4 linked regions of the Ovis aries genome follow. The protein of the gene in region 1 purifies or fractionates together with the protein of each later gene. This does not show direct contact. Links are inferred from orthologs where the notes say so. Each region holds a gene or a part of one and is shown in the gene's direction. Other genes may lie near its edges.

What was found. The genes of interacting proteins can lie anywhere in the genome.
Region 2: the proteins of ITCH (region 1) and DVL2 purify together in Homo sapiens (affinity purification with western blotting; 4 studies listed by BioGRID and IntAct, with this or other methods). This does not show direct contact. The link is inferred for Ovis aries from reciprocal best matches to the Homo sapiens genes ITCH and DVL2.
Region 3: the proteins of ITCH (region 1) and ENTREP1 purify together in Homo sapiens (co-immunoprecipitation; 3 studies listed by BioGRID and IntAct, counting the BioPlex papers as one, with this or other methods). This does not show direct contact. The link is inferred for Ovis aries from reciprocal best matches to the Homo sapiens genes ITCH and ENTREP1.
Region 4: the proteins of ITCH (region 1) and CFLAR purify together in Homo sapiens (affinity purification with western blotting; 8 studies listed by BioGRID). This does not show direct contact. The link is inferred for Ovis aries from reciprocal best matches to the Homo sapiens genes ITCH and CFLAR.

The regions. Positions count from the first base shown.
Region 1 is NC_056066.1:63,780,840-63,784,918, forward strand, and holds the start of ITCH (E3 ubiquitin-protein ligase Itchy homolog), read left to right. Parts: upstream 1-1,256; 5' UTR 1,257-1,485; exon of another isoform or gene 1,486-4,079. UniProt on the Homo sapiens protein: Acts as an Acts as an E3 ubiquitin-protein ligase which accepts ubiquitin from an E2 ubiquitin-conjugating enzyme in the form of a thioester and then directly transfers the ubiquitin to targeted substrates.
Region 2 is NC_056064.1:26,835,749-26,840,039, reverse strand, and holds the start of DVL2 (segment polarity protein dishevelled homolog DVL-2), read left to right. Parts: upstream 1-1,485; 5' UTR 1,486-1,736; coding exon 1,737-1,930; intron 1,931-4,076; coding exon 4,077-4,146; intron 4,147-4,291. Other genes in the region: PHF23 (PHD finger protein 23), read left to right, coding at 1-85, 186-400.
Region 3 is NC_056055.1:67,369,138-67,373,252, reverse strand, and holds the start of ENTREP1 (endosomal transmembrane epsin interactor 1), read left to right. Parts: upstream 1-1,309; 5' UTR 1,310-1,393; coding exon 1,394-1,798; intron 1,799-4,115. UniProt on the Homo sapiens protein: Functions as an activator of the E3 ubiquitin protein ligase ITCH in the ubiquitination of the CXCL12-activated CXCR4 receptor. Thereby, triggers CXCR4 endocytosis and desensitization, negatively regulating the CXCL12/CXCR4 signaling pathway.
Region 4 is NC_056055.1:203,444,225-203,448,407, forward strand, and holds the start of CFLAR (CASP8 and FADD-like apoptosis regulator), read left to right. Parts: upstream 1-1,377; 5' UTR 1,378-1,488; intron 1,489-4,183. UniProt on the Homo sapiens protein: Apoptosis regulator protein which may function as a crucial link between cell survival and cell death pathways in mammalian cells. Acts as an inhibitor of TNFRSF6 mediated apoptosis.

The DNA.
Region 1 (4,079 bases):
AACAACAGACTGGTTCCAAATTGGAAAAGGAGTACATCAAGGCTGTATACTGTCACCCTGCTTATTTAATTTCTATGCAGAGTATATCATGATAAATGCTGGGCTGGAAGAAGCACAAGCTGGAATCAAGATTGCCAGAAGAAATATCAATAACCTCAGATATGCAGATGACACCACACTTATGGCAGAAAGTGAAGAGGAACTAAAAAGCCTCTTGGTGAAAGTGAAAGAAGAGAGTGAAAAAGTTGGCCTAAAGCTCAACATTCAGAAAACGAAGATCATGGCATCCAGTCCCATCACTTCATGGGAAATAGATGGGAAACAGTGGAAACAGTGTCAGACTTTATTTTTTTGGGCTCCAAAATCACTGCAGATGGTGATTGCAGCCATGAAATTAAAAGACGCTTTCTCCTTGGAAGGAAAGTTGTGACCAATCTAGATAGCATATTCAAAAGCAGAGACATTACTTCGCCAACAAAGGTCTGTCTAGTCAAGGCTATGGTTTTTCCAGTGGTCATGTATGGATGTGAGAGTTGGACTGTGAAGAAAGCTGAGCACCGAAGAAGTGATGCTTTTGAACTGTGGTGTTGGAGAAGACTCTTGAGAGTCCCTTGGACTGCAAGAGGATCCAACCAGTCCATTCTAAAGGAGATCAGTCCTGGGTGTTCATTGGAAGGACTGATGCTGAAGCTGAAACTCCAATACTTTGGCCACCTCATGCGAAGGGGAGGGAGGGGGGAGGGGGGAGGGGGGTTCAGGATGGGGAACACGTGTACGCCCGTGGCGGATTCATGTTGATGTGTGGCAGAACCAATACAATATTGTAAAGTAATTAGCCTCCAATTAAAGTAAATAAATTTAAATTAAAAAAAAATTAAGAAAAAAAGACTGATGCTGGGAGGGATTGAGGACAGGAGGAGAAGGGGACGACAGAGGAGGAGATGACTGGATGACATCACCGACTCGATGGACATGAGTTTGAGTGAACTCCGGGGGTTGGTGATGGACAGCGAGGCCTGGCGTGCTGCAATTCCTGAGGTCGCAAGGAGTCGGACACGACTGAGCAACTGTACTGACCGGGAGTAATCCAAGAGTCCCTCCCACCTAGCTAAATACAAGCTCGGATTTAGCTGCGCTCACCAGCCTCCGCTAGGTCTTCCTGCCCGCAGCTGGTTAGTGCGCAAGGACTTCTAGGGCTTGTAGTCCTGATAGCTCCGGAGCTGGAGGCGCCTGCGCGTTGGCCGCCAACTCGTTCTAGTAGCTGTGGTCCGGAATCGGGACCGGCTGCCATCTTAGTCGAGGGACTGAAGAGTAGCCGCCGCCCCGTGTCCCGGTAAAAACCCGCGGGCGGACTGGAGGCAATTTTGGGGAGAGGGAGGGTCCTGGATGAATACGTCGGAGGAGGGCGAGAGGTAGAGGAGTGCGGCGCGTCAGCCGGGACCCGAGCCGCGGCTGCTTCCTCTTCCCTCAGAGCCGGTGCCCGTGGTGGGCGCGGGGAGCTCGGGCTAGTGGCAGGGGCCGGGCGGAGGGGTGGCGGGGATGGGTCATCTGGAAGCCCCGAGCGGCCCCTGTTGGGCTCAGACGGTCGGAGCCCCTCTCCTCGCGGGCGCCAAGTTCTGAGAGAACTGGGCCCCAGCGGGCGCCCCCGGGGTCCAGCCCAGAGCCCGTCAGCCCCGCCCGGGGGCTCTGCTCCTGCGGCCCGGCCTACGCGAGGGGCCCCGCGGCAGCGGCCGGGGCGGGCGACGTGGCCCTGCGAGGGGCGGCGGCCGGGCCCACCTGCCACCCGCTGCCCTTCCCGAGACTTTTTGGAGCTCGCACCAGCGAGAGGGGCCAAGTACAGCGGCTGCCTCTCTTCTCTCTTCCATTCCCCTCCGTCTATTGTCCCCCAGCGTGGTGGTCCCGGCCCCGGCGTCGTCGTCGGCGCCCGCCGCCGCCGCAGCGGCCCCGCCGGCGCCGAGTTTTGCAGACGTGGAGCTGTCACTGCCCTTCCTCCTGAAAGTGCCCTTTTCTTTAGCGGAGAGAAGGAAAAAGTAGTCGTGATGAGGACAGGACTTGGTGGGGACTAAGTGGGGAACTCAAGTTCTTAGACTTTGCTCCGGGCCGCGACGTAGAGCGAAACACAGGATCTCTGCGCCCCAGGTAGACGCTGGGCCTCAAGTTAGCGATGTAACCTGGTGGATTTGCAAACTACCCGAAATCCACGATTCCCCAGTAACAACTCACCTTGTTTTCTTGCTAATGTTTGTATCTTGTTAGATTTTCCGCTGTTATTCAGCTTCAGTGTAGTTTTTGGGAGTGAGGGGTGGGGAAGGAAGAGACATTTCAGGGAATTTTTCTCTGAAAATTAACGAGGCACTTGAGCCATCCATCTATCACTGTACTTAGTTTGAGTCTTGCATGTATTCCTAATATAATTAGATCGTAGGGAAGTACTAGAGGCAGTGTATTTCCACCCTCAAAATGGGCTAGAGAGTTGTTTCTCTGCCGAAATAAAGTTCTCAGAGCAGGTCTGGTGAGAGTCTTAATCATGTATTCATAGGTTTACTCAGGTTACAGTTACTTCATTTTTAAGATTTAGAAATGAAGGTGGAAATTCACCTGCTGTTTTCAACAGTGGATATAAGTTTTTTGGGTGTGAGTCCGAAAGGAATTCCTTCATCTTCAGCATATGAGTCAAGTCAACAAGGATATGAAATAAACAAGTGCAGGATAATTCCTCAGTGTATTCTAGAGTAAATCATTTTTCCATTCCTTAAAGAAACGTCTTTACACCAACTGGAAGAGACAAACCAGTAGCCCCCAAATTTGGTCATTAAAATAATCAGGGCAGCTTTTTTAAAAGTAGAAATTTCAGAGCCTTATTTCCCGAGATTGATTTAATAGGTTTGGGTCGGCCTTGAGGATTAAAACTTGCCTCAGGCAATTTTGATGGTTTTGGAAACCTTTGAGACAATACTTTGAATAAACCAAAAGCTTTGAGATGGAAGAGGAGGTAATCAGTTGTGTCTGATTTGAGGAGGAAGAATCTGCTTCAAGCTGAAGTTGGGTCTTAGCTGAAGTGTTATTGTAATGGAGAAAGGGAAGGACAGGGCAGAGGAAACACCTCAGTACTGTTAGTAAACACAGGATTGTGGAAGATAAAAGGGAGCAGGGAGTGGGATGGGGAAGGAGAGCATTATGGATGTGAGGCAAGAAAAAAACTTGTTTTATGTTGTTAGCAATAGATACAGATTTTTTATTATTTATTTATTTATTTATTTTTAGATACAGATTTTTTAACAGGAAAATGATATTGAGTACATGTTTGCTTTGGGAAGATTGCTTTGTGGCATGAGTGAAAGGACGGAAGAATGGCTGTTGCAGTGGTTTAGGTGAGAAGTGAAAGGCTTGTCCTCATTGAGAGGCCGTGGGCATGATCAAGGGATTAAATTTAGTTCTTTACTAGTGCAATATTGTCCTATTTTTGTATGAGGATTTCTTTAGGGCCATTCTGGGTAAAAGGTTCCTTTTCTGTCAAAAGAACCCATTAGCAAATCAGAATAGTATTGCACAGTTATATATGTTAATGGTATCAGAATTTATTGTTAGCATCCTTGATCAGGTACAATTTGTAGAATTTAGAGATTAGACTGAAATTTATGGCTATCAATGCTATTGGTTTATGAGCTTTTTGGGAAGTGTTTTTTCTCCCACCCTCAGAAACTTGGTTTTAGAATTTTAGAGTTGGGGGACTCCCCTGGTGGTCCAGTGGCCAAGACTCTATGCTCCTAATGCAAGGGTTGTGTGTTCGATCCCAGTTCTGAGAACTGGATTCCACATACTGCAACTAAAGATTCTACATACCACATCTGAGACCCAGCATAGCCAAATAAATAAATAATACATATTAAAGAGTTGGAAGAGATTGTAGAGATTATCTAGTCCACAGTAGCAGATACATTTTGATTTATGGGCCAACTTTCACTTGAAGTAGCTGCCAGAAGCCCTGTGTTGAGAAGGATTTTAATCATAAGGGTTCTCTGGGAAAGTGAGTTATGATTGATTAGTGATGACTCCTGTGGACACTAGTTATCTAGTGG
Region 2 (4,291 bases), on another chromosome or scaffold:
AGCACTGAAACAAGCCAAGATGGAGATGCCAGCTCCAGTGAAGGCGAGATGCGGGTCATGGATGAGGACATCATGGTAGAATCAGGTGAGAAATTTGGGGCTGCCCAGGGGCAACTGGGTTGATGGGTCTTGGGGTAGTGTGGCTCCAAGAACTCAGAACACCAAACATACCTTCTTTTTTCCAGGTGATGATTCATGGGATCTGATCACGTGTTACTGCCGGAAGCCCTTTGCAGGCCGGCCCATGATTGAGTGCAGCCTGTGTGGGACGTGGATCCACCTCTCTTGTGCTAAGATTAAGAAGACCAATGTCCCTGACTTCTTTTACTGCCAGAAATGCAAGGAACTGCGGCCAGAGGCCCGGCGATTAGGGGGGCCTCCGAAATCTGGAGAACCTTGACACATGCCATCTCCAGGCTGGAACTTCAAATGGAAACGTGACTTCGGAACTGAGCCTCAGGGTCAACATGTTCCCTGAAGCTGGGATGTTGTCCCACTTCGAGGCAGAAATTCCCAGGGGAGACTGGTTTGGAAATGAGTGGTTTTCCTACCCTACCTTTCCTTCCCACCTTGTGGACTTGAACTTGGACCCATTGCAGTTGCGGGTGGGAGGCTCTCTGGGTCCCTAGACACTTAAACTGTCCGTGCCACTGCTCAGTTTCTGGGCCAGGGTTAGAACTGGGATGGAGTGGGACAGTTGTCTATAAAACTCTAGTGTAAATATAGCACTCCCCTCCCTCATCTTCTATCTCACTCCCCATTTATTCTACACCGGTTGTATTTTTAATTTAGGACTTCCCCTTTTGAGCGTGGCAGCTCAGAGGTGGAGTGCCAACCAGAGCTTGGCCAAGGGAGGAAGGAAAACAGAAAGGTGACGATTCCTCACCTCTTTTGTTTTTAATAATTCTGGCCAGCTGTTTGTACAGACAGCCTGCGTGTTGTAAATAAAGCAGAGTGGGCTCTTCTGTGTTTATAGCCCTCACTGACTGTCGTGCTGGGGAGGGAGGCTTTGGAAAAGCTGGCTGGAGGTGGGGCTGAAACCCACCTCTACTGAAAATGATCTAACTGCGCCTTTCCCACCAATCCTATGACCTCAATTCAATTGGCTTTGCCCCGCCTCATCCCCAGTCAAGGACCATCCCCCTCCCCCAATTCCCACCTACACCTCCCACACGCGCGCTCCAACGCATGAAAGTTGCGTGGAGCTCCCTGCCGGAGCAGATAAAGCGTGCAGGCATTGCTTGCTTGCCCCCTGAGGGCAAAGCCCAGCCTGGTCAGGGTAGTCGGAGGACGCGGGTGCGGACACACAAGGAGGAGGAGCCGCAGAAGGTTGGGAGACCGTTGCTGAAAGCAGCAATCATGTGGCGGGGGTACTAGGCGGAGCCGAGAGGTCACGTGACCACGAGATGATCACGTGGTGGAGGCGTTTCGAAAAGGGGGTGGAGTCGGTTCTGATCACGTGACGTGGGGAGAGGTGGGCGGGGCGCTTGGAGGGCACTCGCGAAAGCGGTGGCGGCGGCGGCGGCGGAGCCCGCGGCTTTGGGAAGCGCTCCACGGCTCGACCCCCTTTTTCGCCGCCGCCACCCTGCTGACCCCCGCCTTCCTCCCTTTCACACCTCTCTGGCGCTGTGTCGGTCCTGGTGCTCGTGCGTCGGTTCGCGGGACTGCGCAGGCGCGGCGGGGGCGAACAGCCCCTTTGGGTGGGCGGCGGAGCCCGGGAGCGCGCGGGCGAGACCATGGCGGGCAGCGGCGCGGGGGGCGGTGGTGTTGGGGAGACGAAGGTGATTTACCACCTGGATGAAGAAGAGACTCCCTACCTGGTGAAGATCCCCGTCCCCGCCGAGCGCATCACCCTCGGCGATTTCAAGAGCGTCCTGCAGCGGCCCGCGGGCGCCAAGTACTTTTTCAAGTCTATGGATCAGGATTTCGGGTGAGCGCGAGGCCTAGAACAGGATGGATGGGGGCTGTGCTTTTGTGGAGTGGGTGATATTCAGGGGCATCGGGCTACCTTGGGACATGCTGTGATTTTCTGGGCACTAGTGGTGCGGATTTTACTGTGCTGGTGTAGATTGATTATCCCAGGACGGACAACGTTACGCTTGGATAGATTGAGGCGCACGGAGCTGTAGGAGGACAGACTGGGCACTGCTAAACCAGATTAGAGAAGATTAGGCTATACTGGAGTAGTACACTGATTTATTTTCGGGTGTTCTGGACAGCGATGAGGTAGGTTGATGTATCCTCTGGTAACTACATTGTGAGCAGTCCTGTGCCACACAGGTTGTGGAGGGATATTGGGAAACCTGCTGATGTCAACTGGGCTATACTGGGCCAATTTGGGATGTTCTCTGTGATACTAAGTCAGACAGGATTGTTTGGTGGATATTCTAGTCTGTACTAAGGCAGTGTGCTGTATTGGGCTGCTATTATGGTCTGCACTGGGTTCTGTTGATCTTTGTTTCTTTGGGGGTCTAGTTTTTTTGGGGATACTCAATATAGGGGTACACAGGGCTGACCATGTCTGTGTTAGTACAGACAGCTGTATTGGGATATTCTAGTCTATATTGGTGTAGACAGCTGCTTGAGGGGACATTCTAGCTTATACTAGAATAGTTTTGGGCTATCCTGGATAATTTGGGATAGTCTGGAACCTTAAATAATTCAGGGTAGCCCTTTTTGTGTTTTATACCTTTAGGACTGTACTGTTTGTCCTCAATCGCAGCTCTTGAAGGGAGGCTGCCTTAGGCTGGGATAGCTTGGATTCTAGGAAAGCTGAACAGACTGGACTTTATCTAGAAAGACCTGGAGGTAGGGATGGTGGTACTGTCTTGGGAGTTACCTTGTATTGAAATTCAAGGTTCTTGTGTTTGTCAGCACTGTATAACCTGGGGCATTTAACTTTGTTCATTGATTTCGTCTGTGAAACAGTTAACCAGAGTGAAATGCTTAGTACAAGTGCATGGTATGTATGTTCTTGGTAAATGGTCGTTGTGTTTATTAGCATGGAGTCTACTTCTTGAACTAAATCACTTGGCAGGCTGGACTGTGTTGAGATTGGATTATGCTGTGAAGAATACAAGTGTTAGGCTGAGATAGATTGGTAGTCGCTGGGCTGTGTCATCACGTTAATAATAGATGGGATTGAGTTGACATATATCCAGGGTCCTAGAATCATATTAGTCTAAAGGGTTAATTAGACAGGCGGTCCTAATTTTGGGGGTGAATGTGTGTGAGAGTGTTCAGGGCAGAATGTCTCATGATCAGTATGTTTATCAGTTTAGCCAACAGGTGTTTGTTAGTGCTTAGGCAGCATCAGGTACTTTGCTGTGTGGTCAGGGACTTGGGGTTGAACTTGGTGTTGAACAAAATTAGCACTGATGATTCCGTCTGGTGGTTGCAAAGAAGGAGCAAGTTCGGTCCATTGAAGGAACCCATGGGTGAGATCGCCCTCACGGCTGGGCTTTGGGGTCTGTCAGGAGGAGCAAATTGCTTAATGCAGAGTTTGTGCCAGGTGAAGCACGGAGGAACGGGGATCTGGACTTCACCACTCCTTAGGAGCTCAGTCTACTAAGTACCATTCTTTGATCTAATGGGTGTTGTTACTAGATGACAGTACATTTGAACATCCATCTGAAAGTGAGTTAGAGAAAACTAAGGAAAGCATAAGATTAGAGACGTAGACAAGGAGCACAAAGCCTTTGTGGGGCAATTGTGTGTGGAATGGGGTGGCTGCCTGTGAGGCTTCTAAGGTTAGATATTGGGGGCAGCTAGGGCAGCCTTAGGGGAAGGCCTTTGAAATTGGGCTGAGAGGTTTCAATCAGACTCTTGGAAAGCTCTGGAACAACGCTGAGCCCAAGGATGAACTGGGGAAAGAAGGAGAAATAAGGAAAGGGAATTCAGTTTGGTGATTTCTTGGGTGTAAGAGTGAAGTGTCTCAATGTCAGAGAAGAGGATTTGCCATGGTGGGAGGAAATCAACATCCTTGAGCTGGATGAAGATTGGGAGAAACTTCAAATGCAGGTGGGAGTGGGGAAAGCCGTTCCAGTTTCACTGACCTTTATCTTATCTCTTGGCAGGGTGGTGAAGGAAGAGATTTCAGATGACAATGCTCGCCTTCCCTGTTTCAATGGAAGGGTAGTATCCTGGGTAAGCGGCCTGGCTTTGATGACCAGTCCCTTTGGCACTTCCCAGCTCCTCCAAGCCTCAGCCTGTGCCCATCCATCTCAGCTGCTGGAATCTGTGACTGTTTGCTTCCTTACCTGTTTGTTTCTTTGTGTTTGGCCATGCACCA
Region 3 (4,115 bases), on another chromosome or scaffold:
TTTAAAAGACAACTCCTTTTTTTTTCCGGGATTTGACGTTTATTTCCAAGAGGAGTTTGTAAAAGAAGTCCTTGAGACTATGAATCACAGGTGCTTTAATAATTCAAAAAGTGTACATGTAGACCCACATGCACATTGGCAGTGCATTACATTGTGAGTTACAGTAAGTAATGAACGAAATAAATACAGCCTTTGTAAGCAGAGCATAAAAACAGATACATGTTTCCTTTGGTTTAGTGGGCAGGAGGATATAAAATACCCTCCCCTTACTTATTACTCACCTAATACTGAGACTGACTTTCTGCAGAGTGACAGTGCTCTGGTTCTTAACCTGAAAAAATTCTATCATAATCATTTTATGTATAAGAACACTTTCAATACATAAGAATTCCTACCATTAGGAAATGAAATTTTACAAAGGCAAATCATTTCTTTTTAAGTTCTAAATATATTTTATAAATTACCAAAAACAGATTAGAATTTTATGAGGCCGTTTCTCTGAAAGTCTGGGATTCTGTGTTCTACCAGATGATGCCTAACACAGCTCAGGAGTCAGCGTGAGACGGCCACAGAGTGTATGTAACCCTTGCCAGCGCTCCAGGCCGTTGGTTCTCTTTCTGGATGCCGGATACTTCCAAGGAAACTTTGGCCTCCTGCCCACTCCTACGCTGGTGCCAGGAAAGCACCCATACCCCTCATTCCCCACCTCCCAACTTCCCAGGCGGAGGGGCTGCAGAGCAGTCAGCGCCGGGAAGCCCCACGCGAACGGTGACTTTGCTCTGCGTCGTCCTTTCCCGAAACCCTGAGGCTTAGACTTTTCCCAAGTCACCCACAGCTCTCTTCCTGTCATCCTTCCCCTAGGCCGGGGAAAAGTTTAAAGCCGGGCTCCCTTCGTATGAAAGGTCGCCAGAGTCGCGCTCGCGGCTGGACCGGAAAGGGGCGAGGGGCCCCAGCGCGCCTGCGGCGCTCCTGTTGCGCCCCAGCTTGGCGGCTGTCGGTACCTCCGCGCCCAGTCCGCAGTTCCCTCCTAGCCCGAGGGAACCTGTTTTAAAACTGGGGCACCTCTTCTGGAGCCCCGGGAGAGAGCGCCGGTTTGGCGGGGCCCCAAAGGGTGCAGGCGCTGCGCGGCGGGACCTCAGGGCGTGCGTGGTGTCGGGGGCGGGGTGTGGGAGTGGGGCGCGCCCGGGAGGCCGGAGGCCGACCCGCCGGCTGGCAGGTGGGTGCGGCCGGCGGGAGCCGGGGCGGCGGCTGCGGCAGCAAGTGGTTGGGCCGTGCGCATTTTCTTCCCGCCCCCTCCGCGTCCGAGCCCGCCCGCGTGCTCAGAGCCTGGCGCCGGCGGCTCAGCTCCGCGCCCGCTCCCCGCTGCCACCGGCCGCTCCTTCCCCGTTTGTCCATGTCCCTGCCTGTGGTGCTCCCGGGCTCCTGCTGCCCGGTGGCCGGGCTCTCCGGCGGGCCGCAGGCCGGGGGCCCGGGCGCCGCGGCCGCCGCCGCCCAGGAGCCGCCGCTGCCCCCACTACGGCCGCGCTGGCCCCGGGCTGCGCTGCAGCCCCCGGCGCGGCCTCGCTGCGGGGCTACCGCCGCCGGGGTGCTGGCCGCGCCGCCTGCACTCTCTTCCCGCCGGGCCGCTGCCGCCGCCGGGGCTCCGGGCTCCGCGCTGCTGCCCGCTCGCCTGCTGTTGTCGCTCGGTCTGCTGCAGCTGATCCTGGGCTGCTGCATGGTGGCACTCAGCTTTGGGGCACTGTCGCTGAGCAGCTCCCCGCAGGTGAAGAACTCGTGCCCGTTCTGGGCCGGCTCCTCGGTGAGTGCCGCGCGCGCGCGCCCCGCTCACCGCGGGAGCAGGGATCTAGGGCCGGTTCCCTCCTCTGCCTCGTGATTGAGCGTCCTAGGGCTGCACTTGGGGAGGAGAACCTCTCAGACCGGTCGAAGTTTTTGGGCCGTTGAGAGGGTGGAGGTCCATGGTGAATTGGGTTGCACCTGGACGGTGTCTATTCCATGTAGGCTAAAGGGTTTTGTTATTCCTGTCAAACTAATGGGATAAACTTGATTTCCAGCCCCTGGCGAGACTAGAAGAATGGGGGTCGGTGGCAAAAAAAAAAAAAAAAAGGCGGGAAGAAAATGAGTAAACTTCTTCTTTCAGCCATTGAGTGTTTATTTCGCTAACAGAGTCCGCAAGGCTCTCGATCTATTTTGTTCACCAGTTTATCAGCAGTACCAGGCACACGGCAGGGGTATTTGTGGGATGGATGAAGTGACAGGTTGGGGCATGTCACTTATTTTATTCTGCACTGAGGCAAACGGAAACATGAAGTGTCTGGTGTAAAGTAACTCCACTGTGTTTGGGGACGAGCTCAAGAGGTAATAACAGTGTGTTAACTCGCCGTGTACTTGGTCGTTAAAGGAGGGCCCTAGGCCCGCACTGGGTTCCTGGAGCCACACAAACTGCTAGGCAGAATTTAATTCTTGAGAACAGGAAGCCATCATGTGGAGAGCTTGGAGATGTCTACCCGGCTCTGCCACTGGCCCTACCGGACTGGCGCCTCCAACAGAGAAGGCTGATGCGGGGCAAAAGGTCTGCTGCCCTGGAGCATCTCTGCCTCCAAAAGAGTTCACAACTTCCAAGGCAACCAGTGTCTTGAGGTTTGTTGGGGACTGAGAGACTTGGAAACAGATCTTCGTGAAGTGATTGTGGAAGATGAATATGTAAAGCAAACAATCTTTCTCTAAATTAAATCTAAAAGCCTGGCAATGCCTATAGTTCTTACTGAGATCTGTAATAAATGTAGGCTACCTAAAAACATTGGGTGGTCCTTGCAAGTCCACACAAACCCACTTTCAAGACCAGATTTAAGAATATGGCGGTGGTTGGTGCTCACTCCTGTCAACCTCTTTGCAGCCCCATGGACTATAGCCCACTAGGTTCCTCTGTCCTTGGGATTTCCTAGGCAAGAATACTGGAGTGGGTTGCCATTTCCTCCTCCAGGGAATATTCCCCACCCAAGGATCCAATCAGGGTCTCCTGCATTCTGCATTAGCAGGTGGATTCTTTATCAAGGAGCCACATGGGAACCAAAGACTTTTAAGATTATAGGGAGAACGAATTGAACCCAAAGTAATTGTTTGAATAAGAACTGTAAGAAAATTAGGTATGTAGAGCCTGGCTTGGTTTTTATGCTTAAACTGATGCCAGTTTGTTCTCCTTATTTTGATGCTGGTACGGCCTGTGCTATGGTGGGTGGAATTCACAATCTGTGCAACATATAAAAGAAATCCCCACTTCTAGCCCTGCCCTTGGGCTCTCCAACAGGCTTCTGGGAGTTCTTTAAAACTTCACGAGGAGGAATATTCTCAACAGGGTAGGTAGGGGTTGGCTCTGTCTTACTCCTTAGTCCACTTGTCAGCCTAAATTCAGCCAAATGATGGGTGCATTTAATTTCTCTAAATACCCTGGGCCAGAAGTGACTCTTGCATACATTTTAGGGATTTGCTCTTTGTAAAATCATAATCTCTTGTCTTGTCAAAGATAACTAGTTCAGGATTACTGAAAACTATTTTTTCTCTCCTAAAATTAATCCCCTAAATCAGTGTACTCCTGTGAATTATATCAGAGGTAAATGCATTTCAGATGTCAGTTGAGCCATGGTTAGATTTGATGAACTAACCACTCCAGTATTCTTGCCTGGAGAATATCATGGACAAAGGAACCTGGTGGGCCACAGACCATAGGGTTACAAAGAGTCGGACATGACTGAAGCAACTTAGCACACACGTGTGCATCAGATGGTAAAGGCTACTAGTTTGGGCCTGCTGGCTGGGCATGTTCTTGTCCCCAGGACCCAGCAAACCAGAGCAGGGAAAGAATCAGTGATTTGGAACTAAGTCTCTTCTATAGGGTCCTTTTTCCACCTGTGCCCCCCAACTCTATATGAAATTTGCAACTGTTATTTTTTGTGGCCTGTTTCTGAGGTTGTCTTCAGAATTTGCAGTGACAACAGAACCAACAGATACTGCATGTCCGGAACAACGGAATAGGATTTGAGAATGGCCTTAAGGCCCATAACTCTGTTGCAGGACAAGAGTTTCAGGAGTAGCATACCTTTTGAATTTATGTGTGTGAG
Region 4 (4,183 bases), on another chromosome or scaffold:
AAAAAAAAAAGCAAAATACAAAACCCAGACAAAGGGTAAAAGAAAAATCAGGCAGATAGAAACAAAAACAAAGGAACATACATACACACACACCCATATATACACAAAAGAAATCAAAACAGACCAAGGAAAACAAAACCCAAGAGAGTCCAATAAAGTCAGGTCAGTTCTTTTGACCTGATGAACAAAAGAAACAAAAATTAAATCAATCAGTTAAAAACAAAACTAACTAAAACAGAAAACAAAACCAAAGCAGAGTGCCAACTGAACAATAAAGCAAAGAAAACAAAACAAACAAAAATGGTGGGGGTAAAAGAGACAAAAGAGAAATGCAAAGTTAAACAGAAGTATGTAAAAAAGATCCACATATATTAAAGAAAAACAACAACAACAAAAAGAACCCCCAGAAAACAACAACAACAAAAAACAAGCCAAAAAAGCACAGAACAGCAGAAAGCTAAACAGAAATAGACTGTATAAAAGAAAAAGTAAGATTTAAAAGAATCTCAAAAACCTAAATAGAAATAATAATAGTAATAAAAATAAAAACTACAACAGAGAAAAAAGAGAGAGAGAGAAAAAAAAAGGAAAAAAAACCAGAACCCACAACAGAAGGAATCAAAACATAAGAATAATAATAAATATTTTCTCAGGGATCAGCTGTCAGCATCCTTTCCCTTCACTGTGAGCCACAGCCCATCTCCACTTCCCTAGGAGGCCCTCCAGTGCTGGGGAAAGCAGGTCGACCTGCTGTGAGGACAGACTCTGATCTGGCCCTGCTACTGGGTATGCTTGTCTCCAGTGTCTGCAGCTGCCAGAGCTAGAGGGTTTTCTTTTCAGGGAACATTCTTTGTCTTCATATATTCCACAGACACAGGGTTTACCTAGTTGATTGTATGGATTTAATCTGCAGCTTGTGCAGCTGATGAAAAGGGTTTTAATCTTTTTCCTTAGGCACTCTGCCCCTGGAGCTCAATTGTGGTTTTATCCCCACATCTACCTGAGGGCCATCCATAAGAGTCTACTCCTAAGGCTGCCCTGGAGGACTCGGGTCCCCCCGAGTGATGACCAGGAGTGGAGATGGCATGGCTGCTTGGATCGGGGAGACTCCCAGAGCACCAGGCGCCATGGGCTCAAGGGATACGACTCTAATAGTCTTTTCTAGCTTCTGGCAGCTGGTGTTTGAAGGGCTGCCCTCTCTGGGATCCTTCTCTACTGCTCAGGGGCCAGTGCTGGTAACGTGGGGAGAGAGAGGCTACATAGACGGCTCCACCCCCTGCATGTAACTTACCAGTAGCGCCCTGCTTCCGGAGCCGCCCTGTTTCCCTTCAAAGGCTGTTTCCCTTAAATCCTGCTGCAGATTTCCTCCTTTCCTTCAGGTCATCTCCTCGGAATCAGTAGCAGTCCTCGCCCTGGGTTTGCTCTCCAGTCTACATGCTCCAGCTCCCAGCTGCCATGCGCCATCGGTGGACGTGCATCCTGGGACAGGTTATGTAGGGCCGCGGCTCGGATTGTCTGTGTGGTTTTCACTCTATTCGGACTGTCATGGATCAGCTGCTTCACCCTCCGACAGCCCCAAATGCTTCCCTTTCTGTCCCAACTGATTCCTCCGGATGTGGGAATCTCTCCCCTGCTTCAGCTCCCCCAGCGCTTTCTCTCCTCTTCCTTCTCCTCTCTTTCTTTTGTCCTACCCAGATATGCGAGTATCCATAAAATCCTTTCCAGTGGTCAGGGACTCCTGCTAGTGTTCAGGCCGTGTTCTGTGAGAACTGTTGCATCTATAGATGTATTCTTGATACATCCATGGAGAGAGATGTACTCCATGTCCACCCACTCCTCCACCTTCTTGAGTCCCTTCTGTTTCTTCCTTTTTTACTGCTGACTACTGTTTCATTTTATAGATACACTCCCATGGTTTATCCATTTGCCTTTTGGTGAGTATTTAAGTTATTCCTAGCTTTGGATTATTATTAGAGGAGCTGCTATAAAAATTAATCTGCAAGTCTTTGTATATATATTATATATTATTTCTCTTGAGTAAGTGCTTAGGAGGGCTTTTGTTTTATTATATGCTAAGTGCAGCCATGAAATTAAAAGACGCTTACTCCTTGGAAGGAAAGTTATGACCAACCTAGACAGCATATTCAAAAGCACAGACATTACTTTGCCAACAAAGGTCTGTCTAGTCAAGGCTATGGTTTTTCCAGTGGTCAAGTATGGATGTGAGAGAGTTGGACTGTGAAGAAAGCGAAGCACCAAAGAATTGATGCTTTTGAACTGTGGTGTTGGAGAAGACTCTTGAGAGTCCCTTGGACTGCAAGAAGATCCAACCAGTCCATTCTAAAGGAGATCAGTCCTGGGTGTTCTTTGGAAGGAATGATGCTAAAGCTGAAACTCCAGTACTTTGGCCACCTCATGTGAAGAGTTGACTCATTGGAAAAGAGTCTGATGCTAGAAGGGATTGAGGGCAGGAGGAGAAGGGGACAAGAGAGGATGAGATGGCTGGATGGCATCACCAACTCAATGGACATGAGTTTGAGTGAACTCCGGGAGTTGGTGATGGACAGGGAGGCCTGGCGGGCTGCAGTTCTTAGGGTCGCAAAGAATCAGACATGACTGAGCAACTGAACTGAACTGAACTGAAGTGTACTTTATAACAAATAGCCAAACTATTTTCCAAGTTTTATTGTGCTACATTTCTGCCAGTAATGTATGTTGTAGTTATTTCACATTCTCACTGATTCTTCGTATTGTCAACTGTTTGGATTTTAGCCATTCCTGTAGGCTTTTAATTTTCATTTCCCTGATAACTAATGATATTGAATAGTTTCTCATGCACTTATTGGCCGTTGCTTATCTTATTTTGTGAGGTAGCTGGGCAAAGTTTTTGCCCATTTAAAAAGTGAGTCATTAGTTTTATTATTCAGAGTAAGAATTCTTCATATATTCAGGCTTTATGTCCTTTGATGATATATATTGAAGCCCTAATCTATGGTTGCCCTTTCATTTCTTTAAATAAAACAAAACAAAACATTTATTTATTTATTTGGCTGCTCCAGGCCTTAGTTGTGGCACCCAGGATCTTTAGTTGTAGCATGCAAACTTTTAGTTTTGGTGTTTGGGGTCTTGTTGCCCGATCAGGGATCCAGATCCACACTCCTCAGTGGAAGTACAGAGTCTTAACCACTGGGCTGCCGGGGAAGTCCTATTTTTATTTTTTTTTAATGCGGATATTTTGAAGGAAAGATTAAAATTTTTGATTTGTAAATGTTTTCTGCTATGAGTTGTGCTTGTTTGTGCTCTAAGAAATCTCTGCCTACCCCAAAGTTTCAAAGATTTTTCTACTCTGTTTTCTTCTAAGAATGTTATAGTATACAGCAATGAAAATCAATGAACTGTACTGACATACTACACAGTAAATCTCAATGAACATAATATTGAGCATAAAAAGAAAGGCACAGATGAATATGGTTTGTTTTCATCCATATAGAGTGCAAAAATAGTAAAAACTAAGCTGTATTGTTTAGAGATGCATAGGTAAATGGTAAAACTTATAAAGTCAAGAAAATTCTTATCTCCAAATTTGAGATAGTGGTTATCTCTTAGGGGAGAACGTGGGTTATGATAAAGGATGGGCACACAGAGGCCTCTGAAATGATCCTATTTTGTGCCTTTGGGTGGCAGTTACATGGATGTTTGATTTACCATTCTTTATTAATATATGTATTTATGTTTAGTGCACATTTTTGAATTTGTTTGCATTTCACAATCTTCAAACATTCAAGGAGCCTTAACTAGATTATTATTCTTAACTCTGGGATTAAAAAAAAAGAAAAGAAAACCTTAATAGAAGGGTTGGAAAATAGAAAAAGTATCCCCCAAAATAGAGATGAAAGACAAATAAAAAAGGAGAAAATAGGACAAAAAGTACAGAGCAAGTTCAGGAGGGGCAATGTAAAAAAGAAGGAAAGAATGAAAGGAAGGAAGGAAAGTAAAAGAAACAGAGAAAAATGGATAGGAGAGATCACCAGCTAAATACTTAAAGTCTCCTAGAACTTAAGGATATATTTCCAGATTGAAGACTCTTGAGTGTGAAGCACAGTGAAGTCAAATAGTGGAGGTACAGCATGTACTGTGAAATTTCAGAATACCTAAGAATAATGAAAAGATGCTACATACTTTT